3 linked regions of the Rattus norvegicus genome follow. The protein of the gene in region 1 interacts with the protein of each later gene in a pairwise test. Links are inferred from orthologs where the notes say so. Each region holds a gene or a part of one and is shown on either strand. Other genes may lie near its edges.

Region 1 (4,101 bases):
GTGTATGAGTACACTGTAGCTATCTTCAGACACACCAGAAGAGGGCATCAGATCCTATTACAGATGGTTGTGAGCCACCATATGGTTGCTGGGATTTGAACTCAGGACCTCTGGGAGAGCACTCAGTGCTCTTAACCGCTGAGCCATCTCTCCAGCCCCTGAAATCTTTATAATAAAATACTAAATGTGTGTCTAGGGAAGTGTTCCAGCAGTGATGGTGCTTGGCGGATGGCAAGCCAAGCTAGAGGACCTGACTTTGATCCCCAGGTCCCCGCAGTGAAAGAGCACATTTTCCCTCAGATCTCCACACCTGCGCTGTGCTGTGACAGACGAAGGCCATACAGCCACCCCCCAGAAAAGCATTTTAAAAAATATTTAAGTTCTTTTATCCCAGCAGGTGGATCTCTGTGAGTTACAGGACATCCAGATCTACATAGTGAAATCCTGTCTCGGAGGAAAAAAAAACCTCAAAACGTAAATACAGTCTAGTAGAGTGACACACGACCCTGCCCTGGGTGGTGGTGTGGGGTACATTGTCTTTATGGGTTCCGGGCAATTCAGAGTTAACACTGAAACAGCATATAAAAGTCTCAATATACAATGCTTACTGGAACTCTCATCAGTATTGGCATCTAAGAATAAGTGGGGAAGAATGTAGAGAAACAACCGTCCCACCCTGTTCAACTAACTCCCTCGGTGGCTGGCCTTCCAATCTCCTTTCTCAAAAGTCTTGTCCTTGTCTTTCAATCCGATCCCTAAGGCACCCGTTTTTTTTTCTTTCGTTTCTTTAAAAAAGCTCCTAAAAAGCAGTATGCTTAGTTATCCTTAAATATGGCACTCCCATAGTGCTCTCAATCAAAGACCAATAGGACGGCCAAAGTCTGCAAAACGTCCAACTACCCTAATCCCGCCAGGAACTAAACTTGAGCACAAGCAAATACAGCCCGCGGAACGCCCAAGCCGTCCACGGAAAAGAGTGGCTTCCGGAAGAGCAGGAATGACGGGAGGACCAGAGGTCTTGCAGAGGTTTGGGTAGTTAGAATTGTGCCTGTAAATTTCTATGTCCGTCAAGATAGGAACGTTGATTAACGAGGTGCAATACGCAGAAATCCCAGACTCTTTTCCCCAGGAAGGTGCAGCATTCCACCCAGTAATTTTTCTTCAGGCGTTTACAGTAGACACCCCGGTCGGGTAGCACAACGGCGCGAGCAGGGAAGAAACGCACACAGCCGGAGGGGGGGGGCGGGGAAATACTTAAAGTGTGCGCACGCGTACGCGGTTCACGCAGGCGCAGTGCGGTCCCCCGGGCGACGGCGGCGGCGGCGGCTCCTCCGGGTGGTCGGCTCCCTCCCATCTAGGCCGGCCCCGGCCCGTCTCGCCCCCCAGAAACTCACTGCTCGGGGCTGTGGACTTTCTCATCGTGCCCCACGAAAGTAAATCGGGGGAGACTGGGGGAGCCGGAAGTACCGCCTCGAGATCCCCAAATACTATCGGGGAAACGGAAGTGGCCCTTGGTGCCAGGTTGGGGGAGACCGGAAGTGACGGTACCGTGGGGAAGTCGGGGGCGGAGCCACAGGGTGGTGGGCTGTGTATGTGTTTGTATGTGTTTGGCCGCGTGTTGGTTAAGTCGTGTTGCTGGAATACCGACGAAAGACGGAGGCGGAAGGAGGGGGCGGTCAGCGAGCCCATCCAGCCTCCCGTGAGTGTCGGTGGTCTTGGGTCTGTGGTGATTTAGGCGGGTTCGATTGTGGTGGCGCGCGTGCGCGAAGCTACTTTCTCTGCCGAGTCTAGCGCGACCCTCCCCCCCCCCCTCGCGTTGTCCTAGGATTTCCCGATCTCTCGGGCGCTTGCTCGGTCGCGACCGGTGATGACACTGGTCTCTGATCGGTCTCGTGCTTGCTTCCCCGATTCCTAGCCCAACTGGCTCTCCCTATTGTGATTGGCATTGTAGAGCCCCTCCCACCTCTCGTCCTTCATCTCCCTATGCCGTCGATCTCATACCCTTTGTGTTTCTATTCCTGTGCCCCCGAATCAAAAAGGGGGGATGAGGAGGAGGAGGATGAATATATGTGCTTGTGTATGTGAAACTTTCAAGGGATTGGGGCGGAGATTGGGTCCAGAGAGGCTTCCGGGTGTATAAAATACAGCGCGACCGACAGCGAACCATCCCCCCCCCCCTTCCTCGTTCTTCCTTAGAGAGCTGTCGGCCATGGAGCCGAGTGATAGTACCAGTACCGCTATGGAGGAGCCTGACAGCCTGGAGGTACTGGTGAAGACCCTGGACTCTCAGACTCGGACTTTTATTGTGGGGGCCCAGGTGAGACACCAGTACTTTGTAGAGATGACACCCCTTTTGCTCGTTTGTTTTGTGAAGGATGAGCCTGATTTTCTTGTCATTGACCCTTTTGTCCCTTACTCTGTAGGACATCTGACGTTCCTATTGAGCTGGGAGGTGTGGTTACCGTTGAGTGAGGCAGATTTTGTTTAGCCTGTCCTCACCTTGACAGAACTCAGAAGTGGGAGGTACAGAGGAGAACTCTATACCTATTCTGTGCAGACCTCCAGCCCAAAGGGACAGGCATGGCTCTGGCCTTTGGGACCAGACACAACACAGGGGGACCTCAGACCAGTATGGTGTGTCTGTTCTTTTTTATAGGTTACAGAAACCTGCTTCCATACACGGTGAAGTAGAATCGCCAATAGTTGAGGCATAATTTGAGTCTTGAGCTAAGTTCAGTGTGGCCACGTTTATCTTTTGTTTTTCCTGCATAATTCTTTGAGACACCATCATGCGCAGGTCATTTTCGTGGTTTTCTAAAGCAGATATTTAAAAAGCCACGTAGATTTTGTGAGTAGATATGTGTGATAGTTAATTCTGCCTGTTACCAAGGGTTGATGTGTCTTTCTGGGAGGTGGGGACACATAGCGGGGCTGCCTTTGCCTCTGACCATTTCGCCTTTACTGTCTATGTGCTTGGATTATACACACTGTGATAGAGGATTATGGGATTGTAGATTACCACATCTGCCTTGGCTTCGTCTTTTTTTTTTTTTTTTTTTTTTTTTTTTTTTGTAAAGTAGGGTCTTACATAGTTAAATGTCTTAGAACATTTATTTGTGTGTGGGTGTGTGGGTGTGTGGTTCTACTGGGCCTTGAACCTTGGGCTTAGCATAGAGTACTTACTACTGAATTGTATAGAACCATGTGTTCTTTTCTGACCTTCTTCATTAGTTACCTTTCCAGAACCTGGTTCCAAACCCCTGTATTACTTACCATTGGTGGTGATGGTTCTTTTGGGATGTGTGTATTTTCAATTCCTTTAAAAAATCTTATTTGTTTTTATTTTATATGTGAATGGAAATATTTGTATTGGTATTTGCAATACAGATTATAATAATTTGTATTGCAATATGTTTGTCTGGAAATATATATGTGTGCCTTGTGTGCACTTGATGCCTAAGAAAGTCAGAAGAACATATCAAATCCTGCAACCTGTGGCCTTCTCCTCATGTGGAAGTTAGGAAATTGTAGTCCCTATTGTGTTATGGATGACTGTAAACTACTTATGTGGGTGCTAGGAATTGAGCTCTGGTCCTGTTCAAGAGAAGAGCAACCCTGAGCTATGTCTCTAGCCCATCATTTTGTGTTTTAAGTCAGGGTTTTATTCTGTAGTCATGGCTAGCCTCACAGTCAGATCCATCTGCCTCTGCTTCCTTGAGATTAGAGGCTTTCTGCTACAGTGCCTATCTGCATTTAGCCTTGAGATTACAGCCATGAACTCCTGCTATTGTTTTAATTTAGAAAAGGACCACGACTATCTCTAGATAGTGAGCCACAGAGGAGAAAGGGAGAGAGAGCTATTTGGCTTCTTGTTTATAAGATTTAGTTTTATTTATTTACTGTTGTTGCTATTTTTTTTTTTAAATAAATTTAAGACAGTCTCTCTACATCGCCTTGGCTATTGTAGAACTCACTATGTAAACCAGGCTGGCCTCAAACTGACAAGAGACTCACATGCCTCTGCCTCTCAGAGGCCTACACCACCGTGTCCCACTTACTTGTAATTGTGTGTTGGTGTGGGGGATGTGTACCTCTGCCTTT
Region 2 (3,315 bases), on another chromosome or scaffold:
TGCTTTGCTGGACACTGCTCTCCACTTACATGTTTTTCACTTAAGCATCTATTTCTTCTCTGCTTTGTTCATTTTCTAGTTTCAAATTATTTATGTTTATATACATATACATATATATATATATATTGAGTATATATATATATATATTGAGTATATGGACACATGGTGTCTAGGTGCCTGCAGAGGCCAGGTGAGGATGTCAGATCTCTTGAAGTTGGAGTTACAGGCAGTTCTGAGTGGGTTCTAGGATCTGAACTCCATTCCTCATGTTAGAGTGTTGATTTAATTATTCTAATAAATGTTGGTGTGAGGTTCCTTCCAGCCTTTGACAATTTATGCTCCTGGATTAAAGATATGCACACAGCCTTATATTTTAATATGCCTTAAACAGGACAATAGCCAGGCTACTGTCTAAACTCCTATCTGTTAGAATCCACTAACAATAACTCCAAGTTACTACTAATTAATTTCTATATTCCAGCTTGGCTGCTCTTAACTCCAATTAGCCAGTGCCTGGGCCACATTCTTTTGACCCTTTTACATTGTGGCTCTCCTTCTCCCTCGTATATGTTCTTCTTCCATGGCAGCTCTCTCCTGTACCCTTCCATTGCAGCTTTTTCCTCTCTCTCTCCTCTTCCTCACCATCCCAAGCCTGGGAAACTTAAACCCTGCCTATGTCTTTTCTCCCCAGCTATTGTCTGCTGGCAACTTTATTTACCAATCATAATTAACTGGGACCAGAGGCTCTCAGTGTCTTTTCTGTAACTCTCTCATGCTATTTCGGGGGCAGGGGGGTTCTAAATTAATATTAGAATACAACCAACATTAGACCAACCTACTACATTATAGCAGCATTGAGCTTAACCACCAGGGCATCTTTCTAGCCCTAGCTTTATTTTTTTTTTTTTTTGATTTCTCTCTTCTGTCCATTCCTTCAATGCCATCCTCTCTCAGGCTCTGTAATCTGTCTGAGTTTAATGTGTATCCCTTGTAATGATAATTAATTTTAATCTATGCTTCTGTCCTTTGTGTTCAGATTCATTTATTCACTTACTGACTCTTCCAAAACATCTCCTTCCACCCTCCAATGCTCACTCCATGTCCAGTTTTGACCATGTTAATTTTCAGAATTTCTCTTGCTCCTTGATGATTCTAAGGCAGAGATTCTCAATCTTCTTAATGCTGCAACTCTTTAATACAGTCGTGGTGACCCCCAACCATAAAATTATTTTCATTACTGCTTCAATACTGTCATTTTCCTAGTATTATGTAAATATCTGTTTTCCAATGATTATAGGTGACCCCCCTGAAAGGGTTGTTCATCCCCAAGTGGTTGCAACCCAAAGGTTGAGGACCTTTGCTCTAAAGTTACAAACACTTTACCTCAGTGTTTCAGGAATATGTATGTATATATGTATTCTTTTGTACTCATACTATGTATATCCAAATAATCTAAAATTTGTCATGTTCTATTTAAATATACTACTTACCTAACTCTTTGTTTGTTTGTTTATTTGTAACAGAGTCTCTCTGTGTAGCCCTGGATGTTCTGGAATTCATCTACCTAGACCAGGCTGTTCTTGAACTCTGCCTGTCTCTGCCTCTGCCTCTGCCTCTGCCTCTGCCTCCTGCCTCCTGCCTCCTGCCTCCTGCCTCCTGCCTCCTGCCTCCTGCCTCCTGCCTCCTGCCTCCTGCCTCCTGCCTCCTGCCTCCTGCCTCCTGCCTCCTGCCTCCTGCCTCCTGCCTCCCTCCTGCCTCTGCTCCTCTAGGACTCAAGTCATGAACCACCATGCCTGACTATTTACCTAACTCCTTACTAGAATGTAAACAAATACTCAATGTTAAGAAAATGACAAATGACTACTTTCTTTACCAGTTTCAAGATTATCAGATTTTAATGTGAACTATTTAGAGAGACTGGAATTTTTCAATCCATGAGTAGAAGAAGGTTAATAACAAAGAAAAATATTTGCGATGTGAACACATGTTAACAAGAAATATGGGAAAATAAGAATTTTAAAATCAAGCCCTTGCTCTGGAGCTAGTGTAGATGGGTGGGCTAGGGTAGAGATGAAAGTTAGAAGCCAGCATGGACTGAGCAGAGCTTCTCTATCCTATTATTTCCCCTGATTATTATGCTAAGAACAACAATAACAAAATAGAAACTCTAGCCCAAGAAAAATCACTGTGCCTACCCTTCTTTTCTTGTTTTTTAGCAAACAAGCCCTGTGAGTGCAATGCTGGTGCTTGTGAAGTCGCTAACAGGACCAAGAGAACACATCGTGGACCTGGAGATGCTGACAGTCAGTAGTATAGGGACCTTCCGCACAAGCTCTGTGTTAAGATTGACAATAATAGTGGGGCCGTTTTCATTTTAAACTTTTATTCACATAAAGCCTACCACAGGCATTTAAATCAGCCAAAGAATATCATTACATTAAAGTTTATTTTATTTATAGCTCTATCTAGTACATCTATATTCAAACAGCTAGACTATGGTAGGAAGTGGGCATTTAATCCATAAGAGTCAACATTTATCTTTATCACTGTGTGTAAATTAGACATTAGTCCAACATTCTTCTTGAAGAGAGCTAAGCATATATTATCTAGTGAAACTTGGATTCTTTCCTACAAAAATGGGACCAAGCAATGATACTGTTCTGTGGTGAATAGAGAAATATACACCTCCACAAACAATCTCATGAGGATTGGCCATCTAAACATCAAGAGCAAGAAGGGTTTTTTTTTAACTTCTTTGTAAGAAAATGGAAAAAAGTCAATAAAGATATATTTCTTTAGAAAATGAGAATCTGCCATGTTTTTGTTGGTCTACATTTTAATGATCAGTTTACAGGTACTTGTTTCTTGTTTAGTAGGAAATTATTATTGTGCAATATGCTAGTTTCCATTCAGCATTTTAAAGCTTGTCAGAATTTCACCCACAATTCCAAAAAAAGTCAACTATCTCCTCAAAAATTATTTTGTTGAGAAATCTATGAGGAAGAGTAGAGAAAATAACTTTTTTCAGAACCATTTTAGAATTCTCCAAAGAAGCAAGTTAAGTACATGTAATAAAATCCCTGAAGAAAGAAATGCACTTACAGTTCAGAGCAAAATGGAGAAGAGGTGATTCCCTGGGGACACTCCCATTTCTAAGCCTCATTTCTAACAAGCCTCTAGTTTCTCAGCAAGAATCTAACCCTTGTACTTGCACTCAGAGAGGGAGAAAAACGTGTCTCTTTACTCTTAGAATTCACATTATTCTTCCTGTTCAATTCTATGAAAAAATTTCATGTCTTCCTTGTTTAAAATAAC
Region 3 (3,516 bases), on another chromosome or scaffold:
GAACAAGCAGGCACTTCAGATTTTTATATAAATCTAGAGATGATTATAGGGCTTATCTCGTAAACCTAGAAACCTGAACAGAAGCAGTTCTTTAGTGAAGAGCAATGGTTTCTTGAAGTTGAAGGTAACATTGAAAACTGTTCATCGGTGTCATACCTCCACCAATACTCTTTACTACTTTCCTTGTAAAGAAAAGAATCTTAAATGGAAATTTCATGCAATGAAATGATCGAAATGTCATTAGAAAGTGGGACTTTCCTTCAGTCTGCATAAATTCATAGTTTTGTTTCTGAAAAAAATTAAATTTTGTCCAGTATAAACATTGATTTTCTGCAAAATCCATATTCTATGGGAGGTAAATGTGCAAAATCCTTATAGTGACTTTCCATGGTTAGCTATGTCTCAGCATGAGAAATTGGCGATATAAATCAGAACACGTGTCAAAGCCAAGAAGCTATTGTTTTTGTGTTGCTCGATATGTGAGTATGTGCTATAATTATTTTGTAGGAGAGGAATTCTCTGTGCTGAAGTCACTTTTTTCAGCCATCTCGAAGAAGAAACAGGAATTTACATTTAATCTTGCCAGTGCCCTCTACCTTCAAGAAGGATTCATTGTGAAGGAATCGTATCTCCATAGCAACAAGGAGTTTTTTCAGAGTGCTACAAAACTGGTGGATTTTCTAGATGCAAAGACTTCTGCACAGGCAATAAGCACCTGGGTAGAAAGCAAAACAGATGGTAAAGTTTTCCATTTTCATAAAACTGTTATTTCCTGTTGGATTCATTGCTTTTAATATCTTAAAGTAAAGAGTGGCTGAATGTTTCCCATTGCACTGCGGATCAAAGAAATGGAATCTTCTGTTTCACCTCACTGTCATTTAAATTAACACTAGACTATACAACCCAGGGAAACTCTGAATTGCTTTGAAAAGTATATTGATTGCTGCACTAATTCCCAGACACCTTTCTTTTCTTAACGATATAATTTCAGCAATAATATTTGTTCAAGCATTGATTTTTTTTCAGGTATGGAAAGAGAAAACTTATCTTTGTCCAGCAATATATTAGATATGTCAACTGAAAATGTTGTATTCCCAAGTATATTGTTAATATTTTATCTGATCATGTTAATGTTTAAAAATAATACTAGCAATCTTATCATAAATATAGTAATCTAACCTTTAAACCTAATGTGGCAAAAATTACAAAGTTGTTAAATAAAGGCTAAGGTCAGTTTAAAGTTGAGATCCAAGTTTAAAACATTATAACCTTAGATTTGCTTTAAAATTAGGACAGTATTAAAATATTTTAGTTGTTAGAAACTTTAATAACAATGCATGTAACTTATAAGCATTACTGGACTTTAAAATATTTTTATTATGACTGTGCTGAAGAAATTGTAATTTTATGAGTTGCTACTTAACTATTCATGGGCAGGCTCACAAACAGGTATCCATTGAGACTGTGATGTGGTGGTAAGCAGGAGAATTTATAGAGATGTGAAAATGGAAATAACAGCATTATGGACAAAGAATTGCTTACTGCACAGGAAAATAAGAGGAAAATTAATTTTTTTTTTTGAGGATCAAAATCAGACCATGCAATGGTCACTGGTTACAGCTACAAAAGTAGGAAGTTTGGCTGTTTCACTGACCTACTGAATTTGGTCGTTCTCATGGGCAACCTATCCCTTAATACCGACACATATGCAGAAAGACACATCATAGTTCTCTTCTTGTCTGAACAACAGTTTATGGATATGATCTCACCAGAGAGTTTATTATTAGCTCTGTTCACTTTTTCCTAGAACACTCTCATTTTTGATTTCCTGGTGTTTCTGTTTACGCCTATTTCTTAGTGAAGTACTCAGCAGTATTGCCCTTTGCACTTACAGTTGCCAAAACTAGATGACATAATACACTGGTGAAAGCAGTTCTGTGCAAGTCGTTTTTACTTTAGTCAATTTTAGCAAGTTCCATTGAATCTCTACTTACGTTTTTCCCCCTACTTTGTTCTCCATCCTCTTTAATAGGAAAAATTAAAAATATGTTCTCAGAAGAAGACTTTGGCCCCTTGACTCGTCTGGTCTTGGTAAACGCCATTTATTTTAAGGGGGATTGGAAACAGAAATTCAGAAAAGAAGACACAGAAATGACAGATTTTAGTAAGAAAGATGGCTCAACAGTCAAGATTCCAATGATGAAGGCTCTGTTGAGAGCAAAATATGGTAATATGAGAAACTATATATTTTAAATAATGGGTCTGAAAAATGACAAATAAATTTAATGAATTTCCTTTGTTGTAGGTTATTTTTCCGAGTCATCCATGACATATCAAGTTTTGGAATTGCCTTACAAGGCTGATGAGTTTAGTTTAGTCATCCTTCTTCCCACAGAAGATGTGAACATAGAAGAAGTGGAAAAACAAGTTACTGCTCGTCATGTCCAGAAATGGTTCTCTGAGCTGCATGAAGAGGAAGTGGAAGTCAGCCTCCCTCGGTGGGTGGGTCATGTTCTGTGTTATTGACTTTTCGATTACAACCAGAATCCTCGATCAGTTTTAGATAATTACCACTCCATTGAAGTTATGAGGAATTATAAGCAGAGGATGCAATGGTTATACAGACTAATATGCTTCTGAGAGATAAAAGAAATTTCATTAAATGGGGTACCAAAATAGCACAGCTTATATTCTATCCTGTGTTGGGATTTCTTCATATATTTTCATATACCAGTTTATTAATTGAAAATCTCAGTCATACACTATATTTTGGACATAGTCTCTGATCACTATTTCTCCTCGCTCCTCCCAGATCTAATCTCCACTCTCTAATATCCTTGAATACATTCTCTTCTTATAATTTCCCTTTGCTTTTCCCAGGTCTGATCTCTACTATGAACTAAATTATGAATTCAAAATTCTGAAGTACAGTAGCACAAATTAACCTTTCTTTTTTCAAAAAATATGTTTTATCCATGATCAGGAAAGAACATTATGTAGACTAAGTAAATAGTTTTCTGTTGACTGATGACTTTGTTTCAGCCATCTTTGCCCATTCTCTGAAGAGTCTCTATGTGCAGTCCATGTTCATTGTGAAGTGACTTTGTAGCCCAGGCTAGAATCAAATTTGTGATCCCCTTGCCTCTGTTCTGCAGGCACTTCAGGTTTATAGCACCATGTTAAAAAGCATTATTCAATGCTGTGTTTCTTTTTTGTTTGTTTTGTTTTGTGGTTTTTTTTTTGGTTCTTTTTATAAGAGCTGGGGACCGAACCCAGGGCCTTGCGCTTCCTAGGTAAGCGCTCTACCACTGAGCTAAATCCCCAGCCCCGCTGTGTTTCTTTTATATCCAAATAATAATCCACAGTAATTTGTAAACTGATATGTGAAGATCTGTTTAATTGGAACAATTTAGTCAATTTCATCAGATTTCCAGAACTACCATGGAATAGAAGCAAAGAACAAACTAGTTAATATAAACAGTAGAAAGTCACTCTCTTGTAATTTTTGGATTAAAA

What was found.
Region 2: the proteins of Bag6 (region 1) and Efemp1 interact in binary tests that used the Homo sapiens proteins (3 or more experiments, as listed by UniProt). The two-hybrid records come from large-scale screens. The link is inferred for Rattus norvegicus from reciprocal best matches to the Homo sapiens genes BAG6 and EFEMP1.
Region 3: the proteins of Bag6 (region 1) and Serpini2 interact in a two-hybrid assay, tested with the Homo sapiens proteins (2 studies listed by BioGRID and IntAct). The two-hybrid records come from large-scale screens. The link is inferred for Rattus norvegicus from reciprocal best matches to the Homo sapiens genes BAG6 and SERPINI2.

What each region holds. Positions count from the first base shown.
Region 1 is NC_086038.1:3,690,524-3,694,624, reverse strand, and holds the start of Bag6 (large proline-rich protein BAG6), read left to right. Parts: upstream 1-1,295; 5' UTR 1,296-1,544; intron 1,545-1,550; exon of another isoform or gene 1,551-1,601; coding exon of another isoform or gene 1,602-1,699; intron 1,700-1,787; exon of another isoform or gene 1,788-2,077; intron 2,078-2,196; coding exon of another isoform or gene 2,197-2,209; coding exon 2,210-2,317; intron 2,318-4,101. UniProt on the Homo sapiens protein: ATP-independent molecular chaperone preventing the aggregation of misfolded and hydrophobic patches-containing proteins.
Region 2 is NC_086032.1:106,888,159-106,891,473, forward strand, and holds the end of Efemp1 (EGF-containing fibulin-like extracellular matrix protein 1 precursor), read left to right. Parts: intron 1-2,216; coding exon 2,217-2,378; 3' UTR 2,379-2,803; downstream 2,804-3,315. UniProt on the Homo sapiens protein: Binds EGFR, the EGF receptor, inducing EGFR autophosphorylation and the activation of downstream signaling pathways. May play a role in cell adhesion and migration. May function as a negative regulator of chondrocyte differentiation.
Region 3 is NC_086020.1:162,332,864-162,336,379, reverse strand, and holds part of Serpini2 (serpin I2 precursor), read left to right. Parts: intron 1-507; coding exon 508-738; intron 739-2,032; coding exon 2,033-2,227; intron 2,228-2,305; coding exon 2,306-2,498; intron 2,499-3,516.